Schizosaccharomyces pombe: one gene and its partners. Changing the gene in region 3 together with the main gene of any one other region gives a genetic interaction. Each region holds a gene or a part of one and is shown on either strand. Other genes may lie near its edges. The genes, in order: ste6, tim13, irc6 and SPOM_SPBC651.04.

Region 1 (6,871 bases), on a different chromosome or scaffold from region 3:
CCAAGGAAGTTCTGTCGAAGAAGCCATAAAATGATATCCATGGAGCAAACTGGAGAGATGCTCGAGTTCGGAGTCGGGAACCTGGAAATGAGGTAAATCCAACAAATATCCTTGATACACAGCAATATCTTTGAAACCAACACTATCCAATTGAATCTCCCAAGAGACCAATTGCTGCAAAGTTTCAAGGATAGTAGAGGGAAATTTTTCTTTCAAAAAATCCAGAAAGAAGTTTCCGCTTTGATAGAACGATTTAATTGTTAATAAAGCAAGACATCCTTTCGTGTCAAATTCAATTTCATCCCGCTTATCATCAGCCTTAGTAGAATTGTTATCAACTTCAGCAGGAACATCAGCATTTTTGGCTATTTCTTCGTCTTCTGAGGAAATAGAGGATGACTGACTTACATATGTAGCTTTTGTCAGCTCCTGAGCCATGTGCTCAGTAATGATACTCCAGCTCTCTGGAAGATGGGACAAAAGATAATCGAAGATGTTTATTATGGATTTTGAAAGGGTATCCAACTTGTCACAATTAGTCGTAGCGCCACTTAGTTCTTCACGAAACTCTGCATACTGATCTTTTGTTTGAAGCAGCGAACGGAAAGAAAGCATCAATGTTTCTTTACTTAAAAAGAGTTGAGCTAAAATACTGCAAGCCTTTAAACATGCCAAATAACACTCTGACACTGGAAAGCGATGCATTGCATCTTGTATAGATGATATTGAGATTTTCCAAACACAATACAGTTCATCGCTATCAATTTGCAAAATATTTGCTAACCCCGAAAACAATGAAATTAAAAAATTATTTACAAATAGAACTGGTCGCTTTGTAGATATACGGTGTAAGGCTGATAAAATGGCACTGTTCAGAGATATGAATTGTTGGGGACTTTCAAAGCCTCCATTTATCAAAAGTTCACAACATTTAAGGAACACCTCTCTTGGATTTCCGTTTTTGGCTAAGAAGTCCACAAACTCATCGGCCTCATTTTGTACTTTCCCAACATATGGAAGCACCATTCCTATAATGTCCCAGGAAATTTCGCGTGTTATATGGTCCTAATTGCAACATTATTAGGAGAATTCATATTTAATTACATGAATATTTTTACTTACATTCTTTTCTTGCTTCAATTCTTCATGTAGACACTTAATCAACTCTCGCTGCTCATCAATATCCTTTATTCGCGCTTCTTCCAATATCAATTCGAGTAGCGTTGAGTAGGTAATATAATCTTTGGTTTCAATGGCTACCTTGGCGGCACCTGGAATCGCTTCTTTCCAGTCCATTCTTCTTATGAATATTAAGGTGTGAGGTAAACGGACGAAAGATAATTTACGAGGCAGACTATATCAGAATTAAATGATTTTAAGATTATATTGTTCTACAAAAGATTTGAAAATATTAAAGGAATTCGAAGCAAGCTCATAAAAACTTAAATCACTGTTAACGTTCACGCTTCAAAAAATGCCAGAATCAATTAGCAAGCGTTGTAAGGCTTGATCTTCAGATTCACGTGGTTCTACAGTTAAACTTCTTTGATAGATGTTATTCGTGTTTCGCTCTCTCGATATAACTTCATTAAGAAGCTCTTGAACTTCGTTGATGGGATTAAACATGTACCCAACAGATTGAAACTTTTTTATCTCATTCAAAATTCTAGTGACTTTGGTGCGCTTATCGAAATTGATCATGTTTTGAAAGTTATCTTTATTTCCAGTTTTAAGGAAAGTCAGATCAGTGAAGTAAACACCTAAGAAAGGGACACATGGCAAGACACAGTTCTCCAGACAATCTCTATAATTACTGAAATTTTTCCTTGCCTCTGTCAAATTGTTTAGAAGCTCAAAACTAGCCAATGTTTTACTATTCAAATTTGCCCATGTCTTACGCAGCCGATGAATGGGTGAGGAATTTAACGCAGAAATGATGGAAAATAAACTAGCAAAATTGTTAAGCTCTCTCAAATAATCACAGACCTGAATAAAATATGCTAGCACATTGGTACGTCTGCGAGGTTCTTCTTCTTGCACGATGGTTTCGGTCACAAAGTTAACCAGATGATTCGACAAATAAAAGGTCGAAGTTTTTTCTTTGGGTGAGAATCTGTTAAGATTGTCCCAGATTTTAGTTAGGAACTGAATCCTTGATATGTGTGAAAATGATTGAAACTCTAAGATACATAACTGCTTTGCAATTTCACGAGGAGGTAGAAGTAAAACCAATTCATCCTTATATATAATTGGATCAGGGGAATTATGGAGAGAAAGATCCTCTAATTCTTGGGATAGCTCTTTTCCCTCTAGCATTTTATGTGATCTTTTTGTAGAGGGATGATGAAGTAGGTGTGATAAAGAATGCAATAATTCTTCAGCAGATGCAAAATGTGGAACTACAAAGACTTCAAAAACTTTATAAATTTTAAACAAAAAGAATATTGACTTGGAATTGTCCAACTCTTCAACAAGATACGATTCGAACCAAATAAGAAGTATATCCAAAAACCTCTTACTAACTCGGTAAAATTCGTGAGAAATAAAAGAAATTTTTCCAAAATTTAATGAGCAGATGAACCGAAAATGTGCTCCAAGTATGGAAAATAAATCTGAAGAACTGATCATACTAGCGTATGTGTTTAAAAAGATAGTAGTAAAAAATGTACTATCTATATCTGTCCTTAGAAGGTAATTTATAATGAACACTAAAGTGGCTGTTTTTATTTTTCCATCTTGTTCAATTTTACCATTACATGACCAAAATGAAAACAAAAGGTTTCGGATCAATAATGGCTCTGGTGAAGTCTGTTTCATTAAATAACAAACTAATCCTTTAGAGTCGAACCAGTTGGTTTTATTGAGGTCAAAACCATCAAGTTGGGACTTCTCCGCATCATTCAATTCTGGTTGGATATTTGTGAGGAATTTGTATTCTAGAGAAAGAAACACAATTCTTTCTGAAAATTGAACAATTATTGACTTGATCCGAAGAAGGGATACTTTCAAGGTTACTAGTAAATCAACAAAAAGGGAATAATTGTCCAGTAAACAATCGCTAGGTGAGATTTGCTCCAAGTCGATACTCCACAAATATAAATCACATAAGTTAGAAGACAGTTCATCCTTCAAGGCTTCAACATCTTGAGAAGTGAAAGAAAAAGGGTTATTTTCAGAGGAAGAATAATTTATTCTTTGATTTGCAGACAAGAATCGCCTACAACATTGAATGCATCTATCGATGTCCTCTAGAATATCTAGTTTCCAAGCTTCTAGTGCATCTTCCGCAACTAGCTGTAGTACTTTTTGGGTTGTATTTTCAGTTAGCTTCTGTGCTTCTAAATTCCAAAATTCATTCTCAGTGCAATGGTAAGCTTCGTGTGAAAGTGACAAAATTGCAACAAAGGAAGTAATATCAGGTTGGAGATTTGTATGTGCTGATTGTACAGAATTGGAACAGAGCATATTAAAATCCCATGGCAAGAAATGTATTTCATGCGCTATCAAAGAGCCCAAAAAGTAAGAAGGGAAGGAAACATCGGGCCTGAAGAAAAACAAAAACTTATTAGCCAATTGCTTCAAAAGCTTAGTAAATCTGATGCAAAGTTCACCATAAGTGCAACCCATTCGGCTCAACTCTGGCAATAAATTTAATGAGGAGAACACTTGCGCGACTTCTGAGAGAAAATTTTCATCTAATGTAGAAAGGATTATCAAGGGAAATGAAAGAACCATACTACGAACAGTTTCAATTCCAAAAACGATCACTTGAGTGCCTTCCTTTTTTATAGATTGTGACACAGCGGCAGCGGTGGTGAGAATCCCTTTTACAAGGTGGTGAATGTCATTTTGAAGATTTTTTCTTAAGAACTCTTCTGAAGAAGGGATACTATTTATCGCTTGCACTCCGTGTTTCTCAAACCATGCAGAATCTTGAAGATGAGCCTCTACGTGAAACGGCGCACAACATTGAGCATTTGGGTCTTTCTCATTCGATGAATGAAAACTTGAAAAAAAATTTTGAATTTTTGAAGAATCAATGCACGACGTGGGGAACCAACCTCGTTTTTCTGAGCAAATTCCGTCGCACCAACCGTCCTCGAGCACTTCTATAACTATGATAGTGTCTCCTGCAGAAAATTTTAAAAATGAAGGATTAGAGCTGTTCTCATAATCACTTATTGCGGTCGTTTGAAACCTCATTTTCGTAAGGGTCCATGAATGCTATCAATTCCACGATTCATTTATTTTTGAAAGAAAAGAGGAAATATACCTTCTTAAGTTATTTCAGTATTTTCCTGCTTTTAAAATAAAGAAAACACCCGTTTATTTAAAAAAAAAGCTTGTTTTCCCATTATTAGCCATTTTGGGAATTTCTTTGTTTACTAACAATGGGCTACTACAATAGAAATTACCTGTGAATTTGGCGCGTCGCGTTTTGTCACTACGCAACTGTAATATTACATACAGTATTTCACTAGACTATGTTGTCAATCACTTTCACAATGGACTCACCTAAAACCTGTGGGTATGCGACTATTCCGCAATACAGTAATACTTCGTTGTTTTCACTATTCAACCCTATCCTTCGCTATTCAATAAATACAGAAAGAAAAATGTTCTTCCTGAAAAATAAAACAGATTGTCCTTCTGGTAGCGTTTTTCTAAAAAAAAAAGTTGAATTCTTTTCTATTGATCCAAACTTGATGACTATTGTTAAAGGAATAGACCAGTGAATTTAAAAGCTTTTGCGACTATCCTTGACCGATTCATTTTAGGCAGTAAAAATACGCAAAAAAATTTTATGTATCGCTATATTTAAATACCGTATGTCATGATAGTCGACTCCACTTTATTATAGTGTATTGCAATTATTTCGTTATAGTACCAATATAATACGGCAATTTAATACGCTATACACATCATGCCCACCTATAAACTGCCCATGACATAGGGTTCACCGAATTCACCGACAAGTTCAACAAATGTTTTTTCCCACGGATGTAATCGTGCCAATTGCCATTAACCAGCTTCAATTGAGCTAGTTCTATGAATTGAGCTGTTAGGTGGAATTCTCCAATTATAAAAGATATTGTAGTAGTTCATGAAGTGTTTGAAGCGGATTTTAGTTGGAACTTACAAAAATTAAAGGATAACTCTATCCATAGGTCCTGTTGAGACTTGTTACGTAAAATTAGAAAAGATTGGAAATTGTATTGTAATTTGTGAATTTACCATTGTTTGCCTAATATGACTGCACTATTTAATTTCTGGCGCATTATGTATGCGAATATTTCGTCCATTTGGCTACTGGTGGTTTCATTTTTTGAATGGTTATTTTCCGCTACGTCGATATCGCAGCAGCGTGGTTCCGGCCCTCGAAAGGGAAAGGTAGTTATGAACAAGGATTGTCGTTCTTGGGAGGATTGGAAAGTTTTGGCTACGACGATTGACAAGGCGTCGGGGCGTTGGAAATGGCGCTTTACTCCTGCCTCGGACAAGTACGACTATCTATTGATTGATCGATGCACGGTCTCCTTAAAACGATACCGCCAGAGGAAATCTGTCTATCCCATGTTAATGTTCTTGCGCTCTAGCTTACTTCGTAACTTTGGCAACATTGGCAATTCCTCTCTGTATACCGAGAATTACTCGGGTACAAAAATTTTGATTGAAGAGTATGTACGTGAGGTCAACAATTGTTTAGAGTTTTTATATCACACTAAAAGGCTTTCCTACGACGTTAAGTGCGATTTTTTTTCCGCTGCCCGAATTTCCTTCGGTACTACCTGTTTGTATTTCAACGGCGGCACTGCGTTTGGTCTATATCACTTTGGGGTAGCTAAGACCCTTTGGAAACGTAATTTGCTTCCTCAAATCCTTGCAGGATGCGCATCAGGTGCGTTGATTGCATCGCTTTTGAGTGTCTATCGTGATGAAGAATTGAATGGTTTGTTTGATACTTTCCCCAGCGAACTGTGGAAAATATGTCAGCAAACATCTGACTATTCTCTTTCAAAAGTTGTGGAGTATGGGAATATGCTTGACATTTCCATGATAGCATCTTTTGTCCGTCAAAGACTCGGTACTATTACCTTTCAAGAGGCTTTTGAGCGTACTGGACGTATTGTTAACATCGTTGCTCCACCTTCAGCTGTTTCTGGATCCCCTCAGGTTCTTAATTATTTCACTGCCCCTAATGTGCTGATCTGGAGTGCCGTATGTTCTAGCAATAGCTGGGCTGCCATTTACCGCTCTTCTCCTCTTTTGGCTAAACTTCCCGATGGGTCTACCGAGGTGTGTACTCCCAAAAATTTTATTTGGCCGTATGCTGGGCTTCCTAATACCGGTCGCTCTAATCCTTATGCACGAATCTCTGAGATTTTCAACGTGAATCATTTTGTTATTACCCAGTCTCGCCCTTCGTTGTTCCCTACATTTTATGATGAACTTCATCATCATCGTGTTTCAGGATACTCCTTAAAAATGATACGCTTAGTAGGATTAGAAATGGCTTACCGTTTCCGCCAACTGGATATTTTGGGTCTTCTACCTCCAAGACTACGTCGATTTTTTGTTGACGATTATGTTCCAAGTGCGTATATCACGCTTACTCCAACATTTTCTTTCTCGGACATAAAGCATGCATTTACCAAGCCCTCATTAAGCGACATCCAGTATTGGATTCTAGTAGGTGAAAGGGCCACATGGCAAGCTATACCACTTTTACAAGTTCGCTGTAAAACTGAAATTTCTTTACGACATCGTATGTGGAAGCCGATTCTTTTTTGAGTTTTGTTACTTGCTAACCTAACAGTTTCAAAAAACCTTACCAACAGTTACGTTGAACCTTTGTCCGTTAATAATCTGG
Region 2 (4,778 bases), 2.0 Mb from region 3:
GAGCCTTAGAATCTATATATGATTTTAATGCCACCAAATTTTTTCAATACGGCATACCAGGACCAGTGGCAGACCAAAGGGTAAACCATGGCTATATGTCTGTGTTCGATCGGAGAACACGAAATCCATTCTATGTAAGCAAAAACACCGTTTCCTAAGCTTTCTTTACCTAGGAATTATAGATCACGGCAATAGATTAAATGTTTAAATTTCTGGTCTCTCGGAGTGCATTATATTAATAATAAACTAGACAGCGGAAACCATTACACAAGAATCGTTGAACCAACGCAAAGGCAATCGCAGGTACTCTGAGTTCGTTCCAGATGATAATATTCCTGAAATGTTTCAAGCAAAGTTAGGAGATTACAGAGGAAGCGGTTATGATCGTGGTCATCAAGTACCTGCAGCAGATTGTAAATTTAGTCAGGAAGCAATGAACGAAACTTTCTATCTTTCTAATATGTGTCCACAAGTGGGAGATGGTTTCAATAGAAACTGTAAGCAAAAACTTAACGAGACTTTTTCTTTTAATACATTAATAAATTTGACTAGTTACTAACTATAACAATTAGATTGGGCATACTTTGAAGATTGGTGTCGACGCCTTACAAGTAAATACGGCTCAGTTACCATAATGACGGGACCGCTGTATTTACCTAAAAAAAATGAACGTGGACAATGGGAAGTTCAGTATCGAGTAATTGGCAATCCTCCCAACGTCGCAGTTCCTACTCATTTTTTTAAAGTAATCATTGCAGAAAAATCAGGAGAGCCTACCTCAAGTCCATCAGTAGCTGCATTCGTTCTTCCCAACAAACCTATTGCTGACAACTTTCCGTTAAAGAACTTTGCAGTTCCCGTTGAGGTTGTGGAACGAGCAAGCGGATTAGAGATCTTATCAAACGTACCCAAGGGTAACCGAAAACAACTTTGCAGTGAAGTGGTGTGTCAGTTAAATGTTAAGGAGTTTGTTGAATCAGTTAAACAAAAACAAAAGAATCAAGGTAAATGATAAGAATAAGGAAATTTAATGAATCTCTAGTTTTTCTAGTTTTTCCGGTGATCGTTCTTTATTATGAAAATATTTAAACTGTTATTTACACAATAATACTTAAATGCTACATGTCAAAGAAACAATTATAAGTATTTTACCCAGTAGTATAACAACACTTGTAAGTGTTTAGCATGATTAGGAAAAGAACATGAAACGAATTTTAATTGCTGAAAGTTTATAATTATTAGAGAGAAAGCGCGTGAGCTACGTTGAAAAGAAAAATTTCTACGTTGCATATTAAGCTTTGCCGTCACTTCACAACTATACAACAAGACACATATCATAGGAGAGTAAAACAAAATGATAGAAAAAAAAATCATTATTATTCAGTTGAGATTTTTCTGCTCTCGTTGCATACGAGAGATATAGGTTCGAGAAACAATGTTCCAAGCATCCATATAGCGTTCCATACATTTGGAAACGCAAGACTTTTGTCTAGTTAGAATAAAAGTATTTTAATAGTTCTCATACCTTTTCATTGGGATCGAATGTGGAACCAGGCTCCGGGATACATTTATCAAAACAGTTCTCATTGATTTTCTAGATAAACCGATTAGTTAAAACATTCAATAAAACATAAAAAATGAATGGAGCATACACTTATCAATTCGCCAGCTTGAGCAACAGCAAGTTCCTGACGAATTTGTTTCATGAAAATGGATTTTTTGTCTTCAGAAGAAGGTGCATTTCCACTATTTCCACCGAAAATGCCCATTTTGTTTAAGTATAACGTTAAAACTTATGAATGTGGATAATTTTTACTCCTTTACAAGGAAAATTAATGAGGAAATGGTACGTTCGTGGAAAGTACCAAACGGTGTACTTAGGGAGACTAATTCAGAAACCGGCCATCATCACCAATTAGACTTCGTTAATAGAAAATGGATTTTCTAATATGCTGACATATGCGATACAACCAGACAGCAATCTTTGTTTTGTTTTCTACTTGGTATAAAAAAAAAAGATTTAATAAAATATTTCTAAACTAATGGATAGATATACTATTCGGGTCCTTTTGGTGAGTTTAGAAATAAAAGTTTTTTCAGCGTTTTTTTATTATTATTATTTTTAATATTTTAATATACGAAATGAATCGTTCATGACTTTTCATTACCCTTGTTTAGAAAAAAAAATAAAAATCCCAATTTGTAAGAAATTTTTATAGAGTTTTATAGTCTCGAAATTAAATCATGGAATTAGCACATCTTTTACTGCAAATAATCTGAGAATCAAACAAGTCACGTAAACATTTCAATGTTTAATACTGCTAGCGATATTATGGTGTATTAAATTTTATAACAAAAACGAGTTAGCTTGACATTGATAAAATTAATGCGACTGTTATTTACATTGAGAATTATATTGTTAAGTGAAATAGGATTATTCGAAGGAAAATCTATTTCGCTTACTATTCCTTTATATTTCTTTAGAATGATACCTTTGGATTGACTATCAATTGTATCTGTAAATCCACGGACACTTTCTTAATTCTGCGAAACTGCATGGGCGGCAAATTTTTCTTATCTTGAAATCTCTATATAGCCTTGCCCGAGGTAAATAAATAACAGGACGGCTGGGAGGTTGATCTTATCCAGAGCCAAACTCACCACCAAATCTCTTCTGTTTCTTTACAGTGGGAGAAATATTGTTTACCATTGTTATTATTATTATTATAGATATTCCTTTTAGTGTTTATTTTTTAAAACAAAAAAAAATACTTGTAACGAATTTTCATTAAGTATCATCTCTTGGATCGCTAAAATAAATCAGCGAATATTATAGTGCTGAAGCATTACACGTTCGAGGAAGTTGACAAATTTTAATAATTGCTTATCATTCCTATTAAATTAATAGTTTGATTTCCCTTTCAGGTTGCTTCGCTTTTGTAGCCCTTTGTTTCCCGTTCTTTTTATTTATTGTCCTCCACACTCATATAAAAAACTTTGACCATAAAAAGCTTAGACAAGCTCTTCTCAAATTCATTTTAAAATTATCTGTTCGCAAGCATTTTTGTCCCATGTCTGTGATAGCTCCTTCTTTTGATATGGCTAACATACTCACGGAGTTGTCTTCATTTTTAGGAGCATTATCCCTGGGATGTTGGGTCGTTTTACTGATCCCTCAATTACTTGAAAATTATAAAAACCAGTCTGGTGAAAGTATCTCTGATTTATTTTTAATCATCTGGCTTATTGGCGATTTCTTCAATGTACTTGGTTCCATTTACGGAAATGTCTCTTCTACTGTATTGGTTCTCTCATTTTATTACATTGTCTCTGACAGTACCCTACTTATGCAAATTTACTACTATCGTTGGAAAGCTGCCCGTCGTATTGCCAGTCGTGAACACGAACCCTTACTCCAAAGTCGTTCATTAGAAGAAGGTCTTCATGCACCCATTGGTAAACAACAAATTTGGTGGGATCGCCTTTCTACCCGTCAACAATTTGGTGTAATGGGATGTGTGGTTATTGTCTCGACAATCGTTGGAAACTTAATTATTTCTAGTGCCTCTTCTGACAAGAGTGATGATGACTTGAATGCATGGCCGTTTACTGCCGGTTGTATCAGTTCTGTGTTATACTTCTGTGCTCGTATTCCTCAAATCATCAAGAATCACAAAGCAAAGTCTACCGAAGGATTATCCATTATCTTTTTTGTGTTGGCCTCTGTAGGAAACACTTCATACGCTTTCAGCATTCTCGTATTTCCCGCCTCCGATTACTTAAACTACACATATGCTAACCTGCCTTGGATACTTGGCGCGTTCAGCACCATCTTCCTTGATATATATATCTTCTACCAGTTTATCAAGTATCGTAATCATTATTAACACAGCATAATTATCAAAAGGTCATAACTTTACCATTGCGGAATAAGAACGGCTGAGGGAAACAAATCTATGCAAGCGTTAATAATATATTCCATGTCTATAGTTCAAAGTTTTCAGAGGAAACAAAGATATGTCGTTTAGATGCTAGTAGCAACACAATATTCTTTCAAAAACATGTATTCTAATGTCACACATGATGACAGTAAACACTAGTTTGATACTTACCAAGTTGGTTAACCGGTTTATCAAATACATCAGTGCCGTATGAGGCACGGGGAAAGGTAGTGGTAAACTTAGTTGGCGGTGACACGTTCATTTTCTCAGCGACCTGTTGTGCCAATTGGCGTAGCGTCTCCTCAGCTGCAATAGTTATATTACAAACTTGACCATCGTGTCGGATAGAAAATCTGCCTGATGTAGGAGGGGTGCGAGTACAAGTAGAAGACGAATTGGCATTTTTAGGCTGCTTGATGGGAGCAGCCGTTTCTTTTACAGAAGAATTCTTATTTTCCCGTTCTGCAGCTCGTCGTTTTTTATCGCGTTCAATTTCTGCGAGGATTTTCTTACGCTGCTCAGCATCTTCAGCCTTTTGTTGACGGATCTTTTGCAAGTCACGTAAGCGGGCTTGATCCTGCATCTTTCTCATAGCCTGTGCAGTTTCATCATTGGATTTTTGAAGGATTTTATAATTTGTCTTCTTCTCTTCCAGAGCCAAAATCCTTTCTTTTTCCTTTTTCTCCTTTGCTTTCTCTCTTAAAGCTTCAATAGCTTGTTTTAACTCTTCGGGAGAACGCTTCTTAATCTATGTTTTATAATCGTTGTTAATAAAAAGAAAGGATCGAGTGAAACAAATTATTGTTTTCGTGAATTATAATAATAAGGATGGTTAAC
Region 3 (4,333 bases):
TTGAGTCTGATGACCATTTACATAGGGAGAAGAAGATCCGTATGCTGGTTGCGGAGTTTTGCCTAAACCATAGGAACTAACGGAAGTCGAAGTGGGAGGATAAAAAACTTGATGATAAACAGTACTTGGCGAGGGCAATTCCATTGGAGAAGGCATGTCGCTAGCGGCAAATAAATGCTGAACAGAATTTTGGTCTTTAAGTAAATTTGAATACATACTCTGCTGAAAGTGATTATTCAACACAGGTTTATTAGTTAACATGTTGTTTTGAGAAACAACTCTTGGAAAAGAAGCAGATGGATTTTTTGGATCCAATCCAAGGTAAGCAAAAGGATCGAAACTGTTATTATCATGCGATAAACGAGAATTGCTGCTTTGAATGGGGGGATTAAGAGGAAGGTTCGACACAGGAGGAAGTTGAATTGGAGATTTAGGTTCATTTCCTTCATTTAATAAATGCAAGATTTTCTGTTTAATGTCAAAAGAAGAATGTGATTCAACTGGTGGCTGAGGAAAAGTTGAAGGTTGCGGAGTAGCAAGGTCTGAAGGTGCTGTCGAAGATTTCAAAAGAGAAAGCAGTTGGGAAGAAGCATCAGCATCAACATCAACGGAAATGTTCTTTTCTTTGGTAGTGTTATTGGCAATATTCCTCTTCTTAATCCATTTCTTCAATGGCGCCAAAAATGGGATTACCATGTAAAATTTGTTTTTCATGGTCTGAGGTTTATTTTTTTTGAATGTAGGAAGATCCATAAGATTATGCCATTCAATTTTACTAATTTCTTTTCTTGTACGAGATTCAAATCTTGTATCCAAAGATATTCCAGGAATAATATACAATCGAACGTTTTGTCCACGTATAGTCATATCAATAAATTCATTAGGATTTATACGGCTAGAACAGTCAAAGCCTGTTTCTTCATATACTTCACGAATAGCACAATCAACATCAGATTCATCTTTATCAATTTTTCCCTTAGGAAATCCCCAGCCGGATGATGCTTTCCATCCTTTGACAAGTACGCATTGCTGCATTGACATATCAAGCATTATAGCTCCGCGGACAGGAATACGAGTCTTATATCGTAAAAAATCATCAAACGCCTCTTCATGGACCTTACTCCACTTCCACAATAAAGGACAGTGAGCAAAAAGCTTTGCACTAAAAACACGCAAACCTAGTGATGGCAACTGATCGTTTTGCGCACGTATAAAATCTTCATAAAACCAATGAGCTTGTTCGATTTGAAAACAAAGTCGTTCAACGCTACTTTGCTCCTCTGCTGGTAAATTCAAGATAAATCTAGCTGATAAATCATCCAGCACTTGCGAAAACGTGGCATTTGTGAACGACATATTTCTTTTAATATATAGTAGTCTATTGTTTGCATTTAAAATTCTAAGTCACTCCAAAGCACGACAAATTCGTCAACTTTAATTTTTGTGCGTCTTGGTATTTAAAGCCATTTATGCGTGTGCGTATAACACAGAGTTAGGGACACGTAAAATTACGTACCAACCTTCGTTAGTGATAAACTAAACCATTATTGATTTAGGAATGTATCACACTGCGCTATACTATTGCTCAATCCTTGTTTCATTAAACTGTTAGACTGTAGTTAAAATCACAATTTGCCTTACCTTTAGGTCTTTCGAGAATTTATTTATCCACCAAAAACTTGTTTAATATTCTACAGAACTGATTGAAAATATAAAAAAGCGAATTAATTTTTGCTAAGTACATAAAATCATATGCGAGTTATTTTGGTTATAGGTCGCTCTAATTCTGGAAAGCTAGATTTTATTAAGGGTAAATATTAGTGTTCTATTTGCAATTACTAATTGAAAAGCTTTGACGGGTTCTTTACCGAAGGGGTTAGATGACGAGGCATTTAACAATGATCATTCTGGCTTGATTCATAAGTATAATATCAGAAATAAATATTTTGAAGCTTCGGTTGGTATTTGGATTGAAGAATATTCTAATTTAGCTGAAACTTTGGATGCTTATAGTTCTGAAGAAGCGAAGGAAGTTATTGATAGCTTAGGTGCCATTGTATATACTTTTCGAAGTTTTGATGAAGCTGAGTGGTCTCTTTTTAAAAATTTTATAGATAAACTACAGCTAGAGATTCCGGTAATTGGGTTGCACATGTCAGATGAAAAATTACTAGAACCACCTGATGTGTTTACCCCAGAATATATTTCTATCAGCGAGGAAGGAGTGAATGAATTCAATGGTAAAGTCAACCAATCTTCTATTTATTAACAAGTCTCTTTAGAGAAAGTAGGACTGGACCGTGTTCGAGAAATTCTCGATTGCTGCGAATGGAACTTGTCACAAGTTGATAAAAGTTTCTCGGAAGAAAAGGATGATGCCGGAGATTTCTATCTCCCGGAACGATTCAAAGGAAGTCCAGACATGCAATCGACGGATCTGGATAATTTGATGAAAGAAATGAACCAAATTAGAGGTTGGTAACTCCTTGAGTCGACTAAACTAACAACGAAATTTAGATGCTGACCTGGAAAAAAATGAGAAAAAGGCCAAGGCTTTAAATCTTTTAGAAAAATTGTTAGGCGATGAATTCGAGGAAAATGATTATGAATCGCTGTAGAAACAAGGCCTTTGTTCGTATCCGGAGAATACATGTTGTCGCTGGAGCACAAATTGATGTATAATAACTATTTGAGTTTGCAAGAAAGGTTCAATTAAGTTTTATCAAAGTATTTTTTACTAAAATCTAAATCTGCTGTATTGAAAGAGGACCTATTAGCAACTTAAAAAAAATTCGTAAGTAAAGCTCAGTCACAAATTGTGATAATTTTGGTCGTATTTCATTATTATAGACATTATAAATCCAACACAATGGACTACATTTTCAATGTACAAGGTTCGTCAATAAAATAATTCCCACATGGCATTTTTCGTATTTAAATAACGGCCACAGTCATTCACTAGACATTTTGACTGAGATCGTTTACTGGTTTTCAAAACTTTTGCACAAGAGCCACAATAGACGTGACCACACTTTGTTGCCCATAATGCAGATTTCTCTTTGCTTTTGGATGTTCCTAATGGTTCCTGACATCTTGGACAAACCATCAATGTATCATTGTTAAAGCTTCTAGTAAATCCAGATTTTGGAGGGCCTGGAGGCTTGTAAGACTGTTTTATATTTTCTAAAGAAGAAGTAAAATCATCATATGATTCTTCAAAATGGTTAGAGAAATATTCGTCGTCTGAACCGTTAGTCCATTCTGGATGTATAGCGTCAAATCTCATTCGGTTCACAATCAACTGGAAAAGAGAAGGGGATAAGGAATTAACAGAACTAAACTCAGGAAATGTCCTGGCAATCATTCCCATCAAATCTCGACGTGAAGAAGAACGACGAGTGGACACCTGAGGACCTAAGTAAATCATGTCTTCCAAATACGATAAATGATTTGAAGGAAAGTTACGAGACCGTTCATTCCTTCTCCGGTTCATACGCCTTCTTCGAGGACTTAGAACAGGAGATGATGGAAAGCTGTCATCAGGAATAGCATCCAAATCAATGATATTTGTTGAAGAAATAGAAGTTTCGACTGGTGGAGAAGGTGATCTCGTCAAATCAATTACACTGCTTTCATCTATTCCATTGCTTCCATTAAATTGCATTGATGTGTGAAAAAAGATACACAATTGTTTCCTGTCAAGTAATTGACAACGGGCAAAAAATTAAGTCGATTTATTTGTATATATTTTGGCCTTGCATATATTAACGAAACGGTATTATTTAATATAAAGCTCTAATGTATTGCTGTATATCAAAATACCGCAGACCAACAGTTCGGTGCATTTTTAAGGCAATGTCCAGTATGCTTTATTATTTATAAACTAATGGCTAGTAAAGAAACGTAAATTAGAAGTCGCATTTCTTTGTTTACACATTATCTTTATAAAAAGGAAATGACCTTATGTGATAATTTACTGAGAAGATCAAACGCCAAAGAAGATATGGCGAATAGAGGAATTTTACGAGCTTAATTTAGCAAGAAGAACCAAAAAAATATGCCTCTAGTAGACGATATGGATTTTTTATTAAAGCACAGAAAATGAATTTAAAATACTAGACGATATTTGATAGTACAATTGTTGAAGAATTAGGATTGTATTTATTAAATCCGCTAGATTCTGAAGTTAAACTTTCACAAATGAGTAATTGGAACATCAGCGCTTGAATATCAAGTTCCTGTCTTGAATTTTTTTGAGTATAAATATGATAAATCAAATAATGGATAACACTGCTTTTAGACCAGCATCAAAAGCGAGCGACATTAACAAAGA
Region 4 (6,175 bases), on a different chromosome or scaffold from region 3:
TAACGACCCAAGTAACGAAAGTTCAAGGCTTGCTGGAAAAAGGTAAAGAGGTGAATTACAGAAGATTCGATGGAAAAGACGATAACAAATATATATTGGTGAATGCTTCCAAGTTATTAAAGGGTAAAACAATTAAAGAAAAAGTCTCATGGGACTCTTTCGATCGATTCATCAATGGACATCCATCGATAATCGAATTCTCTAAAATACAACTTAACAAAAAATATTCATTTCAAGAGAAAACGCAGATAAAACAGAAAACTAAAAATAGAGAGAGTTTTTGTTTGTGTAGGGGCATCAAAATTGAGTATGAGTAGATTGTTGCAAACTTTCACTGCCAGGATAAGTGCGCAACAAATCATGCATAACAGCTTGTGCCGAAGCAATTTCAGTTTTGACTTGATCGACTTTTGAGTAAAGAAGGCTAATTTGGTTCCTCATACTTTGTGGGCTTGTGGTACCCGTTTCACTCGCCCTAGACGATGCACTAGAGGGAGTGTGTCGGTCTGGTGCAGGTAAACAAGAATCGTAAGGAACAGCAGTAAAGGTCAATACGGTGCTATTGGGGTTAGCATCTTGATTCATATGCGAGACACTAGAAGAAGAAGAAGAGAGAGAATTAGTAGTTGAAGAAGTTTTTGGTTTGCGGCGGAAGAAATATCGTTTTTCGGAGGGAACTGTCGCCACCGTTGTGGTAGAGTTACTTTTTAAAGATTTATAATTTAACAGCGATCTTTCCAAATTAAGGATCTGCTCCTGAAGTCGTTCAAGTCGAGCGTATTTTTGTTGCAAATCGATATAAGCGCTTACATATGCCTCATGAAAGACCCTGGTCTGCTTTTTTGTGAATTGAGTGGTCCAAGCATCTAAAACGTCGACAGTTAAGGGTTTATCTGCTTGTCCAAGTGAAGCATCCCCATGGGCGCTACTCTCGTTTCCTGAGGAAATTGACGAAAACGAAATGAATGAATTGCCACGGAAAAGTACAGCTCTCCTTGGCATCTTCAAAGCACCCTGAATGTGAGTAAATAAAAAAAAACGATTGAAATTACTCGAGCCTCGCAGAGTCCCAAGAAGTAGTTGGTTTTAGCACCAAATAATCTCTGGCCTACACTTAGTCACTATTGGTGGTGGTACCAGTCTATAATCAAGAAAATACCGCAGCTAAACAATGTGATAAACAACTTTATAAGGAAGTCCAGTTAAGTGCGTTAAAAAACTGAATATGCGCTGCTATACGATATTCTAATTTAAGATAGTTTACTAATATAGCAGGAAATAACTTGGTATACTAGATAATGAAATGTAACGCTCCTGTTAGTTACATTCTTTTCATGAGCTAGTTAGTTTACTATTGTTATAATTAATGGATGGTTTATTCTCCTAAGCAGGTTGTTATTGCTCTTCTACACAACTCCTGTGATCTTGGAAGAGGACTATTATTCGCGAATAATTGTAGAAACTGGTCAATTACGTTGTTGTTGATATTTTTTCGAAATTACTTGTTAATTAAAAGCCTCGATCATAAAGATTGTGCGCTTGAAACAAGCAATGTTCGGTTGGGCCGATGCGTAAAAGAATTGGAATTGGAGCTTTGAACGACGATGAATATCTAAAACAGTATGAAGAAGTAGGAAATGAACTTATTGAACAGCAGTCCGATGAAATTGCATCTCAACTCTCGACGTTTCAGGAAGCGCTGAAGACGTTTGCGAGAGAACATGCCACTGAGATAAAACAAAACTCTCAATTTCGAAATACATTTGTTAAGTTAGCTTTGAAAATTGGTTTAGATCCATTTGTTAGTGGTTCTGATGAGTCAGCTTGGGCGGCCGTGGGCATGAACGAATTCTATTATCAGGTCGCTGTACGAGTAATCGAAGTCTGTTATGCTACTCAAATGGAGAATGGAGGCCTCTTATCGGTCAGCCAAGTTTGTCGTTTTTTAAATGAAGAAAATGAAGCCTTTGGTCATGAATGGTTAAGAGAGACTGACGTTGTTCGAGCTGTCGATAGTTTGGCCCCACTTGGCCCTGGCTTTGTTCTTGAAAAAATTGCAGGTAAACAGTATATCCGGTCCCTTCCTTTAGAGCTCAACACCGACCAAAATGTTGTTTTAGAGGCTGTAGAGATATTGGGCTATGTAACAATATCTATTTTACGGGACAATTACGCTTGGGAGCGTAGCAGATGCATTCAAGTATTGGTACGCAGTTAAATTATAAAAATATCTCAAAACATTTGCGACTAACCAAATAATTTAGAATGATTTAGTTTCAAAATCATTACTCTGGATTGACTCCCAGGGGGTGGAGATGGCCTATTGGGGTGCAAGCAATCTTATCGACGACCAGGCGCAAAGGTTTTTATACGAAAATTTCTAATGCCTTTTTATCAAGACTACCTAGAATTTTGGGGGAGGTTGACCTGCTTGTTTACAACCGTTCATAGATAGTCAACCCTACGCTTAATTTTGCCAGTCTATATATTAATTCGTAAAAGCATCTAGTAACGCTGTGATAAAAGTCAAACTAATGAAGAATAAAACTTTGAATTCGATGAAGAAAACGTAATATGTAATATATATATATATGTATATATGTTTGAGAAAAAAGTTTGGGTTTAGAAGAATTAAGAAGTAAAAGAAACTGAAGCACGAAAACCGAAAAAAGGAGAGACATAAAGTATGAAACTGGAAAAGATAATATGTACAGGTATAAGAAGGAGAAGAAGAAGAGAAGAGCTCGAAATAACGGGAAGTAGTGATAAACAACACAACAATAATTTAAGAATAATAATAATATAATAAAATAGAATAGAATCGGAGGTCATATTAAACAGCAAGACGCAAAGTTGTATGGACCTTGGAAAATGGAAACAAAATTAATTAGTAAGGGAAATTCCTTGGAAGAAAACAATCATTTTTTAAGTTTTAAGGGTCTTTGGTACCTCAAAGGAAGCAGGTGAATAAGGAGTAGTGGTAAATACAAACCGAATAGGCTCAAACCCATTTGTTTTTAGCTCATTAGTATCGTTATTCATACGTAAAAAATCAGGCTGCTTTTGAGGTAAAGGTAAAGTTATTAAGCTGCTCTGAGAACCAGAATGGTTGTAATGTATACCAAGACCACGTCGACCAGAAAATCGATGAAAGGAAGAAGGAACTTTGTGTTTCCTGGCGCTCTTTCTTTTACTCCTCGTATAAACGAGTTTGATCCTAAGATATGCCTCGGGATGCCTTTTTTTCATAAATAAAGGTATTACGCTTTCAACAGTTCCATGAGTGAAAATATCTTCCAAGGAAACACTAGCTTCTCCGACTACAAGAGGAATTTTGTGCCCACGAAATTGTAAGGTGACATCTAATTGCATAGGGGTTGTAGAAGTAGTGATAGGAAAAGCTACTGCATTGCTCATGCGATGCTCTGGAATATCCAAATGCGATAAAGAGATACTCTTCATAGTTCCAGCGAGTTTGAAGAGGCAATGAAAAGGTTTTTTCTCCCCATGGTGTTTCGGATTTTTGAAAATCGATTCATATTGCGTTCGAAAAACGATACTTTTCCAACGGGGACTCCACTTCTCCCATTGTTCAGGAGAGGCATAAATATGTAGCTTTCCGAGTTCAGCGGAACTCATTCAAAGCTCTTTGCCTGTCTATATACTCAAAAGCTTTCGATGAAAGATGGGATGTACAATGTATACGGAGAGGCGGTAAGAGGAAAGATAGGTCTAAGCAGCAAATTTGCTAATCCAAACGAAAATTCGAATACCAGCCATCTGTAGTTATCAGATCGCTGACCCACAAATATGTTACCTTGATCTGACTTATCTAAAGTAGCAAAATCAACACAAGAAACCTCGCTGTAAACAGAAAGGATGTTGTTTGATAAATGTTAGAACATTCCAATATGATTTTCACGATTATAGGTTTTTAATGAAGATACCTTTTCACTCAGATTGCTGGGTTTAGCTGGTAGATGATGAGAAATAAATTGGGAAAACTAAGATTCATCATGAATACAGACCTAAATATGTTTCAGCAAGTTTGAGTATGCTTTTTAAGACAAAAGCAGTAAATTCTTAACTTCACACTTCTCAAATCATATCCTTTCTATCTGAAACAAGCCATTCCACTCAAAATAAATCCAGAAACTATCTGTTTAATATTATAGTAAGCCCAACTGAATTAAGCACGGATTTTTGAAATATAACAATATGTAGTTTTAATCTAAAAGCTAAATAGATTGATGTATTGCCTATTTTAACTAATACAAAATGAAGCGATACTTCAATAAAAGAGCCACCTCAAAAATTTATATTAATATTTCCTACTAGGATTATATTAGAATTAGGTATTCTTTTTATCAAGCTTAAGTATTCGCTACTTTAACATGTGGATTCATTACTGATGGTTTTAAGTCATCGCTTATTTTTTTCTTTTTCGTAATAATTTCTTTTACATGAATGTCTCAACATTTGCTTGGGGTCAAATCGAGTTTTCAGCAAATACCATTAAATAGATTTTAATTAAAAAATAAGAAAAATTTTTCAAAATTCGTTCATCTTCAGGAGAGTATTCTCCCTCGTTTGAAGGGGTTCGTTTTATTTTTTATATTATATTTATTTATTTTTTTGGAGGAATGGTGTTATTTTAACGACTTACCCGCACAAAACTTTTGATACTTTGGATATAGCATTATTTGGTGGGAAAGTAAAGAAGATTTATCCGCAATCGTTTTACAATGACAGCTAAACAAACCCGCAGGATCTACAGCAGGGAACTGTTTCATTTGTCAAATATTCATACGGATATTAATTTTATTATTTGTACAATCCACCATCTAATAGTAACATAACGATTTCGGCAGTGCATACTGATATTCTTTCCTTAATTTGAAAAAAAGAAAAGAAGAAAAGAGAAGAAATAAAGAAAGTTCTTCTTGTTTGATTTGATGGAAGTCTCTCCTTATGAGTTGACACACATGCTGTTGAACTTTACAGCTATTTATAAAAGCCCTTCTACTTTACTTCGCCATCATATATTAACTAGCAAAAAAAAATTTCATAAGGAGATGGTATAGTAATAATACTAACGATATTCGAAAAAAAAAAAAAAACCGTAAAAATGCTTCGTTTAAGAATTTTTATAAAATTTTAAATTTACTTTCTTTCTTTCTTTTTAAAGTTGTTAAAGATCTTCTTTTATTAAGGTTGTCGAGAGGGTGTTCGGCGCAGTTGTTCATTGTGTTCCTTTTCATCTTCTGATTTTTTTTTTCCCATTTAAGTGGGTACGTACATCAACCCACAGACCACTAACTGCGCCCAACTTTTTTGATCCTTTATAAAACGGTGTTTTAGATGCCAAACGAGATATTTTATTAAAGAAAAATTTAGCTATTTATGAAAAAGTAAAGGCCTGAGATTAAAGGATTTCAGGATTCCTAAGCAAAGTGTGATTTAGTTTTCAGTTCAAAATTTCAAAAATATTCTTCTTCAAATATTTCTCCCTTAAGGGAAGTGGCGATTTCGCTCATGAGATGAAGAAGAAGGAGATAAAACAACTAAAAAATGAAATCAAAATTGCATTATTGAACTCTGATGTCGAAACACTTTCCCACATTGGCAAAGAAGGACATGGCTTCCTCATGAAGAGTCTGCGCAAGTCTGTATGGGTCAGTCTTTGTGGTTTATCGTGTCGACATCGAATGGAGTGTCTTTCGAGATCTACTTCTCAGTCTTCTTATGCCGACCAGAATCAGGTTCATTTGGATTCGGAACGATCATTCTTTCAGTACAAGTTGAATCCATTTCTACTTCGTAAACACCGTTCTCAATTGACCAAGCTGCTCAGTGTAGTCTTTAAGCATTATCCGGAACTATGCTACTATCAAGGTCTTCATGATATTGCCCAGATCTTGCTTCTTACCCTTCCTTTCTCTCATGCTCTCCCTTTAATGGAGCATCTAGTATTTTACCGTCTTCGGGACTTTATGCTTCCTACCCTTGATGGCACGGTGAAACAATTGCAGCTAATTTTAGCAGTTATCAAGGCTCGCGATCCCACTCTTTATGAGTATTTAATAAAGGCAGATATCCAGTGTTATTTTGCTCTTTCATGGTTAATCACTTGGTTTGCACACGATGTTTCAGACATTTCGGTGGTATGCAGGTT

What was found.
Region 1: mutations in irc6 (region 3) and ste6 together harm fitness more than expected from each alone (negative genetic interaction), as found in Schizosaccharomyces pombe (one large-scale study listed by BioGRID).
Region 2: mutations in irc6 (region 3) and tim13 together harm fitness less than expected from each alone (positive genetic interaction), as found in Schizosaccharomyces pombe (one large-scale study listed by BioGRID).
Region 4: mutations in irc6 (region 3) and SPOM_SPBC651.04 together harm fitness more than expected from each alone (negative genetic interaction), as found in Schizosaccharomyces pombe (one large-scale study listed by BioGRID).

Annotation. Positions count from the first base shown.
Region 1 is NC_003421.2:1,763,418-1,770,288, reverse strand, and holds ste6 (RasGEF Ste6), read right to left. Parts: upstream 4,204-6,871; coding exon 1,468-4,203; 3' UTR 1,318-1,467; downstream 1-1,317. Other genes in the region: ubiquitin-protein transferase inhibitor Glm2, read right to left, coding at 1-1,065, 1,123-1,296; triacylglycerol lipase Ptl1, read left to right, coding at 5,251-6,766, 6,818-6,871.
Region 2 is NC_003424.3:4,481,069-4,485,846, reverse strand, and holds tim13 (TIM22 inner membrane protein import complex subunit Tim13), read right to left. Parts: upstream 1,857-4,778; 5' UTR 1,770-1,856; coding exon 1,653-1,769; intron 1,595-1,652; coding exon 1,526-1,594; intron 1,483-1,525; coding exon 1,381-1,482; 3' UTR 1,190-1,380; downstream 1-1,189. Other genes in the region: endodeoxyribonuclease Pnu1, read left to right, coding at 1-134, 251-497, 573-1,012; G-protein-coupled receptor Stm1, read left to right, coding at 3,072-3,887; SPOM_SPAC17C9.11C (zf-C2H2 type zinc finger protein/UBA domain protein), read right to left, coding at 3,917-3,954, 4,113-4,689. UniProt on the Schizosaccharomyces pombe protein: Mitochondrial intermembrane chaperone that participates in the import and insertion of some multi-pass transmembrane proteins into the mitochondrial inner membrane.
Region 3 is NC_003424.3:2,463,596-2,467,928, forward strand, and holds irc6 (recombination protein Irc6), read left to right. Parts: upstream 1-1,629; 5' UTR 1,630-1,752; coding exon 1,753-1,810; exon of another isoform or gene 1,811-1,850; coding exon 1,851-2,240; exon of another isoform or gene 2,241-2,282; coding exon 2,283-2,474; exon of another isoform or gene 2,475-2,517; coding exon 2,518-2,618; 3' UTR 2,619-2,899; coding exon of another isoform or gene 2,900-3,664; 3' UTR 3,665-3,833; downstream 3,834-4,333. Other genes in the region: mRNA-decapping complex catalytic subunit Dcp2, read right to left, coding at 1-1,356; SUMO-targeted ubiquitin-protein ligase subunit Rfp1, read right to left, coding at 2,900-3,664.
Region 4 is NC_003423.3:1,242,311-1,248,485, reverse strand, and holds SPOM_SPBC651.04 (uncharacterized protein), read right to left. Parts: upstream 3,717-6,175; 5' UTR 3,640-3,716; coding exon 2,926-3,639; 3' UTR 2,385-2,925; coding exon of another isoform or gene 2,265-2,384; 3' UTR 2,207-2,264; coding exon of another isoform or gene 1,568-2,206; 3' UTR 1,332-1,567; downstream 1-1,331. Other genes in the region: protein mug166, read right to left, coding at 298-1,002; ESCRT II complex subunit Dot2, read left to right, coding at 1,568-2,206, 2,265-2,384; GTPase-activating protein Gyp10, read left to right, coding at 5,541-6,175.